2 linked regions of the Tamandua tetradactyla genome follow. The protein of the gene in region 1 purifies or fractionates together with the protein of each later gene. This does not show direct contact. Links are inferred from orthologs where the notes say so. Each region holds a gene or a part of one and is shown in the gene's direction. Other genes may lie near its edges.

Region 1 (8,038 bases):
TGAATGCCACCTTTATCATGAATTTGTGCCTGCAGCAATTTTTTATTTTCAGTTTTGGTAATTTCTTGAAGAGTTGTTAAGTTTTGGGATTTTATTCGATCAATTAAGAATTTTTGAAAGCTAAGAGGACATTTTTTCCTACTATGGTAGGAGTTTATAGAAGGAAGCTCTCAACAGAAAATTAATGGCCCCATATTTTTCAGTTTGCTAAAGCTGCCAGAATGCAATATACCAGAAATGGGTTGGTTTTTACAATGAGGATTTATTAATTTACAAATTTACAGTTCTAAGTCTGTGAAATGTCCAAATTAAGGCAGCAATAGGATGACACCTTCTCTAAAGAAAGGCTGTTGGCATCTGGGATTCCTCTGTCTTATGAGAAAGAACATGCTGGTATCTGCTGGTTCTTTGTTCCCAGCTTATGTTGCTTCCAGCTTCTGGTCCCAGTGGCTTTTTCTTACAGGTCCTGTGGGTTCTTCTTGCTTCTCTGGGTGCTTCTCTCTCTCCAAATGTCTCTTATCCTCTCATAAAGGACTCTAGTAAAGGATTAAGACCCACCTTAAGTTGAGTGGGTCAAACCAAAAGTACCTTTCTTCACCTTTGGACACATTTTACTCTCACATCTACTTTTTCAGACTGAGCTGTCACTACTACTTAGGAATTGAAATCTTCATATAATCACTTTACACTGAAATTTGGTCATCTAAGTTTGTATGATATGAGGTGGGGATTTTAACTGGGGGTGGGGGGAGAAAAATTGTCATCCCTCTAAAATAACTATCATGGAAAAAAAGTAGGAACAACATGTAAAGGCAGCAGTCATGGTGGCCTTTAGGAAAAATGGAGCAGAGAAGCTCTGTGAGCAAAGCTCATTTATTTCAAATAAATGGATTTTTAAAAGTGGATTGACATCTGACATTAATATTTATTCTAACAAGTTACCTAACAACTGAAGTTATTGATTCCTATGTAGATTGTTATAATTATTGGATGCAAAGATAATAAATATTTCTGGCTTGGACTTTTGAAACAGTTTGCATATTGTAAGCACAGTTTCAATGAAACATACTTTGAAGCAAAAAAAAAAATTGGGTGGGTCATGCCTCAATTGAAATAACATATCAAAAGATTTCATTTACAATAGTTCTGCTGCCACAGGAATGGATTAAAAGAACATGGCCTTTTCAGGGTACATGACAGTTTCAAACCAGCATACTCTGCCTCTGGACCCTAAAAGGACATGTTCTTTCCATATGCAAAATACATTCATCCCATTACAATATCACAAAAACCTTAAATTATTTCAGTAACAATATTAAGTATAAAGTCTCATCAAAATCAGTTACAGGTGTGGCATATCCTAAGGCAAAATTCTCCTCTGGCTGTGGAACTTAGAACAAGTTATCTGCTTCCAATATACAGAGGAGAAACAGTCATAGGATAGATGTTCCCATTTCCATGGAGAGAGATTGGAAGGAAAATAGGCATCAAAGTTCTGAAACAGTTCTGAAAAACTGAAGGGCATACTTCATTAGATTTTAAGATCTGAGAGTCAGCTATAGAATGACATTTTGTCTTGAGGCTTGAGAGAGCAACAGTCCTACCCTTTCCATGGTCTTGCACAGTGCACAGCAGCCCTGCTTTCTCCAAACACTAGGCTGAGGGATCCAATATCTCCAAACATTGGGGAGACAGATATATTTTCCATTCCACCCTCTTCAAGCATCTGAGTGGCAGCTAGACTCTCTGTCATCTCTAGGCACAGGCTCACCCTTCTCTGAACAGTGGGGTTGTGGCCAGGGTCTCCCCAGTCCCTGGAGAATGTGCTCCACCTTCTCAGAGGGCTGAGGAGGCAACATTCTTCCTGAACAATAGGGCAGCCAAGCTCCCCTCAACTTCCCAGGCATCTGAGAGCCATGAGGTAATACTCTTCTTGTACAATGGGTGGGAGGCCCATTCTCTGCAAACTCTGGGACTCACCCATTCCACATGCATGGGTGGGTCCACTATCCTGGTCCAAGATTTCTTTGTACCAGATATCAGTTCCCATGGTTCTGCCTTTGAAGTAATTTTTCCTTCAATCTCTTCCTTTTCTATCTCCCTTTAGCCCACACTGGCAGTGGTTCTGTTCACACAGATCTTGCAAAAAATTTGTTGGCTTCACATGCAACACACAGGAGTCCTAACTGTCAGACAATAAGACTTTCCATAAATCATTTCTGAATAGCTGCATTTTCAATACAGGCTTGTCCTGAAACGGCTGGCTGTTTGCCTATTCGGTTAATCCTCATAAAACATACATAATCAGTAATTCACAATATCATCACTTAGTTGCATATTCATCATTTCTTAGAACAGTTGCATCGATTTAGAAAAAGAAATAAAAAGATAACAGAAAAAGAAATAAAATGATAACAGAGAAAAAAAAGTTATACATACCATACCCCTTACCCCTCGCTTTCATTGATCACTAGCATTTAAACTAAATTTATTTTAGCATTTGTTCCCCCTATTATTTATTTTTATTCCATATGTTCTACTCCTTTGTTGACAAGGTAGATAAAAGGAGCATCAGACACAAGGTTTTCACAATAACACAGTCACATTGTGACAGCTGTATCATTATTCAATCATCCTCAAGAAACATGGCTACTGGAACACAGCTCTACATTTTCAGGCAGTTCCCTCCAGCCTCTCCATAATATCTTGAATAACAAGATGACATCTACTTGATGCATAAGAGTAACCTCCAGGATAACCTCTCGACTCTGTTTGGAATCTCTCAGCCATTGACACTTTGTCTCATTTCCCTCTTCCCCCTTTTGGTTGAGAAGGTTTTCTCAATCCCTTGATGCTAAGTCTCAGCTCATTCTAGGGTTTTTCTCAATCCCTTGATGCTGAGTCTCCGTTCATTCCAAGATCTCTGTCCCAAGTTGCCAGGAAGGTCCACACCCCTGGGAGTTATGTCCCACGTAGAGAGGGGTAGGGTGGTGAGACTGCTCATTGCGTTGGCTGGAGAGAGGGGCCACATCTGAGCAAAAAAAGAGGCTCTCTTGGGGGTGACTCTTAGGCCTAAATTTTAAGTAGACTTGACCTATCCTTTGTGGGGTTAAGTTTCATATGAACAAACCCCAAGACTGGGGGCTCTGCCTATAGTTTTGGTTGTCCACACTGCTTGTGAGAATATCAAGAATTCAACTTGGGGAAGTTGAATTTCTCCCCATTCTCACCACTCCCCGAAGGGGGCTTTGCAGATACTTTTCCACTCACTGATTGAATCATTCTGGGATTCATCGGGGCATCACTCTGGACAAACCAGCAAAATCTCATGTCCTACCTGAGATTCCAAGTACTTATGGCATTCAATCAAACTATCTACATAAGTTATATTAGGAGATGCACTAGTCAAAATATAAATTTTGTAACAAACATTTTTTGCTTTAGTCTCACACAGAAGGTGACATTTTAAAATATTAATTACCATTTATTTTCAATACCCTGCAATAATGACATTCCTTTGTTCTTCCTCATGCAAAAACATTTTTAAAATTGTACCTTGTACATTTCACTATTAGCATACACTCTAGGCATTGCTAGAAAATCACCTACTCTTATTCTGGTTAATATAGAGTAGAAAATAAATAGATAACGGATGGATGAATATCAATTGAGGAAAAGAGGAAGTTCCTTTTCTATTTAAATTTACCTTCTCTTAGAAAGGAGCTGTACTTTCATTTCTTGTATGATAATAATCCAGTAGACTGAGAAGGGAAAACTGATGCAGAAGAAGGTGTAAGGAAGGTATGAAGGGAGAATTGATAGGAAAGTTTGATATCCATTATGTAGTCAGAAGTCAAAGAAGTTCAGAAGCCAGTTAATAAGAGATATATTGCAGATACGATAAAGATTACAAAGCAGAGATTTTTTTTTAAGTTTTCATTATGGAAATTGTCTTTATTATAAAAGGTAGAGAGAATAGTATGAGAACTCCCAAGAACCCATCTGCAACAATTTTTAATTCAAAGTTAATATTGTTTCATTTATACCTCCATGCACTTTATCTCTTCTCCCACTATTATATTACTTCGAAGTAAATATTAACCATTATATCATTTCAGTTGTAAATATTTTATCATGAATCTGTAAAAGATAGAAATCTCTTTATAACAATAATAAAACATTTATGAAACATACTCATACTATCATAATCATTAATACTGCCAATTTGCTACTTTACTCACATAATGATTACGGAATGCTATCTCATTTTGATTAAAGTAACAGATTGTGAAGAACCCTGAATTTGGTGTTAAGAGATTGACATGAGTTTAAATCCCAAATCTCAACTTGCAAATTGTGTGAATGGGGCAAATCTCCTCACCGAACATCTCCGAATATCAATTTTCTCATTAATAAAGAATGATAAGTAATAGCTGTCTTATCCATTTCACAGTTGTCATCAGCATAAACAAGTTAGGGGACATGAAAGGAATCTAAAATTGTGAAGTACTAACTTCCAGTCCAGTCTTTTCCTTTATGAATGACGCTGAGGATAGAACACCTGTGTCCAGCCGTCTACAGAGCTTTTTAAGTAGATTTCCTTTTGTGAACAACATATGACTTTGGTACATTTTTTTTTTAACTTTAGAGTTGTTAATGCCCATATTCTTAAGTCTGAACAGCAGAGCTGCAAAATTTAGTTTTTGTTCTTTCATCTTTTCTACAGGTCATTTCATTTACCTTGTCTTTCTCTTTACTCATAAAAGCACTGGTTGATTACTTGTTGGTGTGCCCCAATTATCAGGATCCGACCTAGGCAAACTCAAAAGTTAATTAATTTCAGAGCCGTTTTGGCCACCAGAACTTCAGATAACTAACAAGGAAGACACATTTTATTTCCTCCCCTACAAACAGGTAGAATTTAAGAGTCACATAAAACAATTTAGCCGGGCAAATTTTGATTGCTAAAACGTCGCTCCATCTGGGGGGGTGGGGGTGGGAATGACTCATCTCCCTCTAGGGGGAACCCTAAAGAGAATGCTTCCCTTAAAGGGCCAACTGGGCGGCGTCCTTTTTCTCCTACGCCCTGATTTCTATTCTTAGATTTGGAGTTAGGCGGCTTTCACTTTTGCTTTTCCTGGTTTCCAAACCTTCTTGGGGCTAAAGGAGTCCAGGTTGGCGGGTCCGGGAGGGTGGCGGGCTCCAGCAGCAGCCTGCGCGCCTCCTCCGCACCCGGCCGCGGGTACTCGGCGAAGTTCGCTGAGTCAGTTTGTTCCTGCGCGACTGCGGTAGTGGCGCCGCGGCTGAGGAATCCGGACAGACGAAACGGCGCCCGTCGCGGGTACCGTAGCGGAGCACGCGCGGGTCACGGTTCCCGTCGGCCCGGCCCGGCCCGGCTCACGCGGGTCGAGCCCAGCCTGGACCACCAGGCAGCGATTTTGCGCGGCGCGTCGCGTCGCCTCAGCCGAGCCTCCGGCAGGCCACAGCTCGTTTTTTTTTTTTTTTGGAGCGGGGGTTTGGAGGAAGCAGGGGAGGAGGGCTCGGGGAGAGGAAGGGGAGTGCAAGGCGGAGAGACGTCGCTTTCCTCATCAACAAGCGGGCGTGGGCAGATGGGGCCGGCGGGTAGTGCCGGCTGCGGGCGGTGAGTTGTGCTCGCCCCGGGGAGCAGTGGCCTGCGCCCGGAACCGCTCCCTGAGCAGCCCGGCATTCGTGCACGGAGGGGCGGCGGGTGTGGAGCGGGGTCCACCATGGCCAGTGGCAGCTGTCAGGGGTCCGAGGAGGAGGACGAGGAAACTCTGAAGAAGTTGATAGTTAGGCTGAAAAATGTCCAGGAAGGAAAACAGATAGAGACGCTCGTCCAAATCCTGGAGGATATGCTGGTGTTCACCTTCGCCGACCACGGTAATCATTTGCAAGGGACCTGTTCCTCACCCCCCCACCCCCACCCCCACCCCCGTCACACACGCACACATACACACACGCACACATTTGCAAACTTTATTCCCTGCTCTTTGGATCTCTACTCAGGCCACGACTTTTAAGAAGTGGCCAATTCCCTGTTCCTTTCCCTGAGACAGAGAAGGGAATTGGAAATTTCAGGAAAGTCTTGGGGCCTCTTTTGCTGTCCCCCACCCCCTTCAGATTTTAAAAGGGCTTCGTGAATCATAATTTTGCTTCTTTCCCCCCACCCGCTTCTTTTCCAGCCTCCAAATTATTTCAAGGCAAAAATGTCCATGTGCCTCTCTTGATTGTCTTGGACTCATACATGAGAGTCGCGAGTGTGCAGCAGGTAAAAGAGTTTTCTTTGTGTCCAGTTCCCCTTCTGCTTGGAAAGAGATGATTTTCTGTCATTACATACTCGGAGTTCTTGTTATTTCTGAGATTTGCCTTGGTCAACCGCTGACCGTGATTTGAAGATGGCAGCATTGCCCAATTATTATCAAATGCTAACTGTGGGTCTACTTTAAGAAGTAACTTTATAATACCAACCGACAGAATATGTACGGGAATTGACAGGAGTAATAATGGGTTGAGATCTAGTTTTGTTATCGCCTAGATGAGCTCATTAGTGTTCACATCAGATTAGTCTAAGAATCTTCCCAGAGCACAGTCTTGTCCTAGATATGACATCCCTGTTAATAGTTTGGAAAAGGGGTATAATTGACAGCAATAAAATGCAACTGAGGAACTCTCTTAGGTGTCAAGAGATTTTTTTTTTATTTGAAGACTGTTAGATTTGTGGTTTTGTTAGTAGTTTACCTTATCATATCTAAAGACAGTGCTTTGATTCCCTTATGTGTTTAAATTTATACTTTGTACTGTAGCAGTTTTCATGTAAAATGAGTTAACCTGAAACTTTTAGAATTCTTGTAATAGGAAACCTAGAGATTTGCTAAATAACTTGGATATATTAAATAGGGAGCTCTAAGATGACAATTAAGGATAATTTGCAGTCAAAACAGAATTACCGCATAACGTGATAACTTTTTTGAGTGCATTTTGAGATTTGGGAACTGAAATCAGTTTTGTTGTTCACATGTTAAATCCTGAAGAGAAAGAAAACAGAACTTTGGACTCCAAGGGGCAGTTAGAAAACCACTGTTTCTTAATGCTTATTTGAGAGGCTAGACATATGTAAGAATTATCTCTATTGCTAAATCTGTATCTTTACCTCTATGCCTATTTTTGTATCCATCTCTATAAAATCAGGGTGACCCAATATATCTAACTTCCTTTATATAAGAACATTTATATCTAGGATGAATCGTTACTTTTATTTTCCTTAAACTGTAAATTTTTTTCCATCTGACTATTAATTTTCAGGCTGCTATGAAACAAAACCAAGCAAAGATAGAGGCATGATAAAGCTGCTTGTTCTTTTTCAGTACTTGAAGTCTGAATTTTGCCCATGGAATATTTGTGTTGCTGCTTTTCACCCACATTTTCTCTTCTAACTTGCCTCTGCTTTGGTGTTCACAAGTGACTTCTAGCACTCTCCGTTTTCTGGATTTGTGCTTGTTTTAGTTCTCCCCGCCCCTCACCCTGCTCAGTCAACTTGGGAAAGTTGGACCCTGGGTGAGATTTGGTCTTCAGGGTCCTGAGGAGGCCATGCTAGAACTCAAGGGAACTCAAAACATACCAGTCACCTGGTTCTTATTCACGTCAGAAAACTTAAACCTGGTCCTCACTTCTCTGGAGTAGTTATGAATGTTACCCACTGTTCTTGTCTAGTGGGAACCAGAGGCAAAGTATGTTGGGAAATAAGGCATTGCCTTCTGAGTTGATAATGCAATGGCATAGAATTATTAATTACAGCACCATATATGCATATGTCTGCAAACATTATGTATGTTACATCATTTGATTCTCACTGGAGTCTCACTGTCACCTCAGAAATCTCACTGGATAATTTCCCCTCATGGTAATTCTGTGAGAGTAAGTAACTTATTTAGGACCACAGAGCTAGTGACAGAACCAGGGCATAAATGTGAGTCTTCTCACATCTTCAGAAATCTCTTTCCATTATACAGTCCACTGC
Region 2 (7,564 bases), on another chromosome or scaffold:
CGCACCCTGCCAGCCTCTTATCATTTTTGTCAATCGATCCACAGAAATCATGTTCTGTTGTGTTTCCATTTAAAGGCACCTTCTTTAACAAATACAGCTGATCTGGCACTGGGCTCACCGTTAATGGTTAGGCACTTCGTTGGTGCCCGAGAGAAGCTTATCTAACCGCATGCTTTCTCCGTGCGGCACGTCTCAGCCTCCTCGTGCTAGCGAAGGCCGGACGGTGCTTTCGCACATCACTCGGGCACCTGAAACCAGGAAACCCCCCGCCAAACACACAAACGTGGAAGGCATGGCACTAAACATGCCACGGGTATCGATGTGGGGGTTACAGGTAAATTTTCATGAGTCGAAGAAAATTATTCACCTGTAACGAGGACCGGCTGGGACTCGGATACTTCGAGTCGTGTTTTCTAATCTCACACACCTGCCTTGCACGGGGCCTCACAACGACCGCCAGTGGCACTGCCCCGTCTCTGCATGGGTTCTGCCCACAGAGCCTCATGGTGAGGTGAAGCTGTGTCTCCCCACATTCCACCGTGTCTGAACATAAGGACAGCAACTCACCCAGGAGAGCAGGCGAGATGGGTCTTCTGGAAAGCGCAGCTCCTTTCTGAGATGCCGTTTTCTCCCACGCCGGACCTTTGCCAGCTTCTCACGATCCAGCCAGCCACCTTTGGGTCCAAAGGTTCTGGCACGTTCCTGCCGTGCACGCGCCAGTCCTCTTTGGTTGCAGCCCTTCGCCAGGAGGTTTTGTTGCTCCCTGCAGACTTTCACCAGCAATCTCCGCGTGAGACCGAATCCCTGGAGCAGGGGAGTCTGCAAAGGGGTCCCGGGACGCGTGGCTTGCGGCATTCAGATTATTTCTGCTGCAAATCTCCTTAATGTAGACATCAGAGGGCTGTGGGAAGGAAGCCTGGGTTATGTTTCAGCCGTGTGGCTTTTCTTACCAGAGCAAGTGTGTACAAACTCTTTTGTCCACTCGTAAATATGTAGCAACCTGTGCACGGATGGTTGCTTGGAAGGATACATCAGAACTGGAGACCTTAGTCTGGGTAGTAGCTCTGTCAGCTCCTATCTGGTGGGCACTAATGGTTCAGTCGTTTTCCTGCTAAAAACCACCATGGGACATAGTTTATAGAAATGTATAGTTCTGGGGCGCACGGGTGGCTCAGGGGTGGAATGCTCACCTTCCATGCAGGAGACCCAGGTTCGGCTCCCCTACCATGCACCCCCAAAAAAGAAAAAAGTTATATATATACCTATATGAATTAATATGTGCCTATGAAATGTATTTTATATAAATATGACAGTTGATTGCCTATGTCTGTAATTTTGGTGGAATCCAAATAAAAAGCAAATCATGAAGGTGGAGGGAAGAGGAAGGAAATTCAACTTGGACTAGGAAGGGGGTGTGTGTGGCGGGTACAGGTGGGTCTGGGGGTGCGTTGGGGATTGGGTTGGGGGCCGGGGACCTCACGGAAAAGCCCCCAGAGAGTGTCCCTAAAGGCCATGCCCCACACCCCCATCTGGTCCTTGGGAAGCCGTGTGTCCCCGACTGTAGACCCCAGAAGGCTTCCTGGAGGCGGCGGCACCTCTGCTGAGCGGAGGGCACAGGCTCCCTGGAGGTCTGGAGAGAACCTCAGGTCCCGGGGTTGGTCCTGTCCGGAGAAGGTGGTTGGGGGCTGGTGCATGTGGGGCGTCCCCCAGGCTGGCCCTCAAAGAAAGGGAAGTTGGAAAGTAACCAGTGACACCATCTTGGATACTGGATAAAGGGCTCATGGGGGGGGGGCATTATATGACACACTCTCCCTCTTGAATTTTTTATGGTAAAACTGTAAAAAACCAAGAGAAAGCATGACAGACACAACGTATCTTTCTGTTTTTATTAGGAACGACATGCAAAAAACAATAGCGAGGGGACCCTGAGAAGAAATGTGTCCATGTACCTGTGCCCATGTGTCCTGAAGGGGTTTTAATTACTTAGAGCCCAAAAGGGACCTCGAGGTTGGAATCCTGCACCTGGCAGGCTGACCTGACCCCCCACCCTTGAGGTGGAAATCATCCCTTCTGTGTTCTTTCTGCATATTCCAGCTGCATACCAGGGTCATTCTATTTCAGCATGCCAGTGAATGAAAACTGCCCTCTGGGTTTCTCTTTTTGTGGCAAGGGGTGCAGACAAGCCCTAAGATACCACGTGTGCAAGGAGAGCTGCAGCCCTCCCCGGGGCCCTTGGAAGGTCGGTCCCCGTCAGGGGCCTGCACTGGGCATGAGGTGATACACCAAAGACGGGGCTCCCCCACGCTCAGCACATTTGGAGCAATCAGCGAACACCCAAAATGTTTCAGATATTTAAGCATTCCTCATATTAAATGAGTTATTTAATACAACCCAGTAGACAAAGACGGAGGAGTGAGCATTCCTAGGCAGTCAATTCTCCTTGTCCCCACTCTCAGGTCAGGGAGCTTCATTCTTCAAGGTGACCCACCAGCCCACAGGTATTTGTCTCCCCACACCCTTCTTTCCCAAGTTCCGGGTTTCTCGAGTTTTCCCACTGCCCTTCGAGAAGGGCAAATGGGGCCTGTGTACGTCTAACTCCACGGGTTAGCGCTTTCTATGGATAAGCGTGTCCTGAATCCCAGCCAGCCACGAGAGCCGCCACCTTCGATCCCCAGGAGGGGCCGGGTTCGTCTCCTCCGCCCCCACCTGCTTGAGGGGAACTTTCCACTCTCGCTCACTCCAGAGGCCACGGGGCTTGCTCTGGAGGTAATGCCAGAGGCCCCGCTCCTGGGACCCACCGGCTCACCAGGGAATGAGTAATTTCTTGGGCCCTTCCCAGCCCAGACAGGCTGATTTTGTGGAAGAATGGGCTGGAAGCTTCCTTTCGGCAATTCTCCCAGGCCAGACCCTTTGACCCTCCAAACTGTCCGAGCTGGTCTCCTCCAGCCCCAGGGCCTCTGGAACTTGGCCAGCCTCAAGCCCTTTTCCTTATCTGCCTTATAGGGAAGGGTCGAAGCCGGCTGGAATGGACAAGGACATTGCAAGCTGGTGGAATGCATGGGATGGAAGTCCCAGAAAGAGGGTCCCTTCCATGCGTCCATCCACTCAGTGGGTCAACCTGCCGGGCATACTGGCCATAAAAAAAAAAAAAAGATAAAAAAGAAGGGGGAAGGGAACAAAGGAGGGAGGGAAGGAAAGAGAGAGGAAGGATGCAAAGGAGGAGGAAAGAGAAAGAAAGGTGCAGGGAGGCAGGAAGGTGGGGCTTTGCTGCTGGGTGGCTGACGGGGCTGTTTGACCTCGGGGCTGGTCCCACGGAAGGGTTCAGCCTGTGGAAAGTCAGCTCATGGGACACACGTGGGTCTTGGGCAGTTTTCCATAAACCCAACAAAAAGGTCAGAGCATTCCCAGGCATGCCTGGGTGTGCCTGTGCAGGGGCAGGCCGGGTAGCGCCTGGCCTGCTCTTCCCCGAGCCCCCAAATCTCAGCACTGCCTTGCAGGGGACGAGGAAAAAGTGTCCACGCTGGAGGCCCTGGGACCTGCCCGTGAGGACCATGGGGGGGCTCCACAGCCTGCCTTGGGCCTCCAGGTACTTGGTGCAGGAAAACCCAAAGGTGCAGGCTCAGAAGGAGCCCCCACTCTAACGGGGGAACAGGGCAGAGGGTAGCCCACCCTCCCAGGGGTGCAGGCTCAAAGGGAGCCCCCATTCTCCCAGGGTCGCAGAGTCAGAGGGAGCCCCCACCATTCCAAGGTCGCAGAGTCAGAGAGAGCCCCCACCCTCCCAGGGGCGCAGAGACAGGGGGAGCCCCCACCCTCCCAGGGGTGCAGAGTCAGCGGGGGCCCGCACCCTCCCAGGGGCGCAGAGTCAGGGGACCCGCACTCTCTCAGGGTTGCAGAGTCAGGGGACCCCCACCCACCCGGGGGGTGCAGAGTCAGGGGACCCCCACCCTCCCGGGGGCGCAGGCGCAGAGGGAGCCCCACCCTCCCGGGGGCGCAGAGTCGGGTAGCTCCCACCCTCCCGGGGGCGCACAGTCAGGGGAACCCCCACCCTCCCGGGGGCGCAGGCGCAGAGGGAGCCCCACCCTCCAGGGGTTCCGCAGAGAGACAGGGCGGGGCGCGGGAGCGATAGGGAGAGGCCCCGAGCCCCGGCACCCTCCCCTGGGTGTGGGCGGACGGGCCCCGTCGTCGGCGGTCCCGAGGCCCTCAGGGGCCCCTTCTCTGCGTCCCGCGCGGCCTCCCCCGTGACCTTGAGAAGGTCACGGCCTCCCCGCGGCCCCCCGGCTCGCACGGCGCATGGGCAGGCGCGTCTCCCGGCATACCTCGGGGCGGCGCGTCCGGCCGGAAGGGGCGGGACGCGGCGCGCGGCGCAGCCAATGAGCGCGACGGAGCGGGGCGGTGACGCGGCTCCCGGCATCCCGCGGCGCGCGGGCCGGGGCGGGGAGTGGGCGTGGAATGGGCGTGGCACGACGCGGCGCGGCCAATGGGCGCTGGGGGCGGGCCCGCGGGGCGGGGCGAGGGCGCCTTAGCGGCTGCGCGCTGGGCGCCGCGTCCTTTCGGTGCCGGCGGCGCGACCCTCCCGGCTGCCCGCGCTCGCACCCGGCCCCGCAGCCATGACGGAACAGGCCATCTCCTTCGCCAAGGACTTCCTGGCGGGCGGCATCGCCGCCGCCATCTCCAAGACGGCCGTGGCCCCTATCGAGCGGGTCAAGCTGCTGCTGCAGGTGGGGCGGCCCGGGGCCGGGGGCGCCGCGCGCCGGGGAGGGCCGGGCGCAGGCGGGCGCCGGAAGTGGAGGCCGCGGCGCTTTGTCCGCGCGCGGGACACTTCCGTGGGCGGGGCGAGCCCGGGGCACGTGGGGGCCGCCGCCTGCCGGGGCCCGTGGGCCGGCCACGTGGGGGGCGCGCGGCGGGACCGGCCCCGGGCCCCCTGGATGGGGGGGGGATGGGCTTGACCTTGGTTGACCTTGCCATTGCGCGCGTCTCCAAGCCCGCTGGGCTCCCCCCTAAAATGCTGCGTGTCCCAGGCCCTTGGGGTCTTTTCCCTCCTGTTGCTTTAAGGGGTTGCGTGCAGCTGCGCCCCCCGGAATCCTGCCCCAGGGATGGTGCAAGTGTCCAGAAGCAGGCGAAACTGCTTCCAGGAGCCCGTCGTGGCCTCCGGCTCCAACGACGGGCTTCTCGAGATCGCGGCAAGGAGGACCGTTGCAGGACGCTGCCCCCGGGGGGTATGCATGCCCTGTAACGGGGCTCCCAGGACGCGCAGGCGGCGTCTGTGGTCCGGGAACGCCCTCGCGATCCTTGGCCCGCTCCCTTGCAGGTCCAGCACGCCAGCAAGCAGATCGCGGCGGACAAGCAGTACAAGGGCATCGTGGACTGCATCGTCCGCATCCCCAAGGAGCAGGGCATTCTCTCCTTCTGGAGGGGGAACCTGGCCAACGTCATCCGCTACTTCCCCACCCAAGCCCTCAACTTCGCCTTCAAGGATAAGTATAAGCAGGTGTTCCTGGGCGGCGTCGACAAGCACACCCAGTTCTGGAGGTATTTTGCCGGCAACCTGGCCTCCGGCGGGGCCGCCGGAGCCACCTCCCTTTGCTTCGTCTACCCGCTGGATTTCGCGAGAACCCGTTTGGCGGCCGATGTTGGGAAATCGGGGGCAGAAAGAGAATTCAAAGGCCTGGGAGACTGTCTGGTGAAAATCACCAAGTCCGACGGCGTCCGAGGCCTGTACCAGGGTTTCAACGTGTCCGTACAAGGCATCATCATCTACAGGGCCGCCTATTTCGGCGTGTACGATACAGCCAAAGGTAAGCTGCTGAGAAGGTCGGGAGCCTGGACCTTCCACGTGGAAGCGTTTGACATTTCCTCTAAGGAACGGGGTGTGTGGGGTAGCCATTCCCAAGACCACAGTTCCCTGTTCTAGAGAGGCGTCCCTAGGCTCTAAACCTGAGCATCTGGGACGGGAGCTGTTACTGCGACTGCCATGCTGTGATGTGCACTAGGCTGTTTGCTCCCGTCCTGCTTGGGTGACGGACCCTGCAGGAAAGCCGTCCTGAGTCCTCCAAGTTTTGTAAAAATTAGGTGGTTCTGGGAACTGATCCCTCTGGACCCACGGGCTTCAGTTCTTTGCAAAACAGTTTGCAAAGTTTTGGGCTTTGCAAAACTCTAGTGCTGCCTTTCCCAAGCACGTGACTGTGTGTGATGACGCCTCACGTTGGCTGGTCCCTCCGTAGGTATGCTCCCTGACCCCAAGAATACCCACATTGTGGTGAGCTGGATGATTGCCCAGACGGTGACAGCTGTCGCCGGCGTGGTCTCCTACCCCTTCGACACCGTGAGGCGGCGGATGATGATGCAGTCTGGACGCAAAGGAGGTACCTTGTCTTTCAACTCCGCTTCCATGCTGAGCAAACGCACGTTTCTTAAAGCATGTGTGGAAAGTAAAAAGAGGTGCGCTGCTCAATTTGCCTTCTTGCCTCCATCCTGATGAGGCCCAGAATGATCAAAGAACACACTTCCCAAAAAAAGTTTTGGGGAATATTTTATCAAAGTAGCCTAGACCTGAAGTAGGCGTTCTTGTTACGAACAGGCTTCTCTTCTTGGCAGGTGTTCCTTTCTTGAGGTGACGGTCTCTGAACCCCTCTTTCCCCTTCCTTTCACTGACTCCCGCTCCTGTCTGTCATCCCTGGACCTGGGGTTCTGAGTGGGAATGGCGAAAACGGGGCTAAGGCCTCTGCACTGGAACTCTCCAGAAGGACCCTGTTTTCCTCTGTGACCAAAACTTGAGTTTTCAAGTTGTCCAGACATCGCCATGTGGGGTTTTACTGCTTTAAAGTCCCTTTGGTTTGCATGGTGCTTGTTTCCCGAGGAACTTAACAGTTACACCCTAACTCTCCTTGCAGCTGACATCATGTACAGAGGCACTGTCGACTGCTGGAGGAAGATATTCAAGGATGAAGGTGGCAAAGCGTTCTTCAAGGGTGCTTGGTCGAACGTTCTCAGAGGCATGGGTGGAGCCTTCGTGCTGGTTCTGTACGACGAACTGAAAAAGGTCATCTAAGTGTGTCTGTCTTAACTAGAATCGGGAACCAAGAATCATGTAGAATCCTTCCTTAACCATTATGGACCATTGACCTTTGAGAAATTCCTATCGTTTTTACCCAGGCAGATCAACTCTGTAGAGAGCTAGGGAAAGCTCTAGAAAAGGGGATCATTGTGATTACATTGGACCACTGGCTCTGCTGATTCCATCTTTTGATTACTAGGGGGCAGGGAAGGGGAATCCTGACCATCGTGGGTCCCTGGGTGAGGCAGCTCAGCTTACACAGACCTAGAAACCCTCGAGTCCAAACGCTTGTAGGACCTTCCGTGGTGTTTAAGTATTTATTTAAAAAGAAATCATGTCTCCTATTTGTACTTAAGCACTATCTCCTTTTGCACAGCTGGACATTTGCAATTATGTTTTACGTTGGGCATTGTGCTGCAAAATAATAAATGAGCAGGACACTCGTAGAGGTGTGGTGTGGACTCGCTTTCTTTCCAAAACCAGGTTATTCTGCGGTGTCACCGCATCAGC

What was found.
Region 2: the proteins of LRRK2 (region 1) and SLC25A6 purify together in Homo sapiens (co-immunoprecipitation; 3 studies listed by IntAct, with this or other methods). This does not show direct contact. The link is inferred for Tamandua tetradactyla from reciprocal best matches to the Homo sapiens genes LRRK2 and SLC25A6.

Annotation. Positions count from the first base shown.
Region 1 is NC_135333.1:99,678,709-99,686,746, forward strand, and holds the start of LRRK2 (leucine-rich repeat serine/threonine-protein kinase 2), read left to right. Parts: upstream 1-5,038; 5' UTR 5,039-5,747; coding exon 5,748-5,901; intron 5,902-6,203; coding exon 6,204-6,289; intron 6,290-8,038. UniProt on the Homo sapiens protein: Serine/threonine-protein kinase which phosphorylates a broad range of proteins involved in multiple processes such as neuronal plasticity, innate immunity, autophagy, and vesicle trafficking.
Region 2 is NC_135353.1:173,457,886-173,465,449, forward strand, and holds SLC25A6 (ADP/ATP translocase 3), read left to right. Parts: upstream 1-4,523; 5' UTR 4,524-4,607; coding exon 4,608-4,718; intron 4,719-5,308; coding exon 5,309-5,795; intron 5,796-6,221; coding exon 6,222-6,362; intron 6,363-6,890; coding exon 6,891-7,048; 3' UTR 7,049-7,500; downstream 7,501-7,564. UniProt on the Homo sapiens protein: ADP:ATP antiporter that mediates import of ADP into the mitochondrial matrix for ATP synthesis, and export of ATP out to fuel the cell.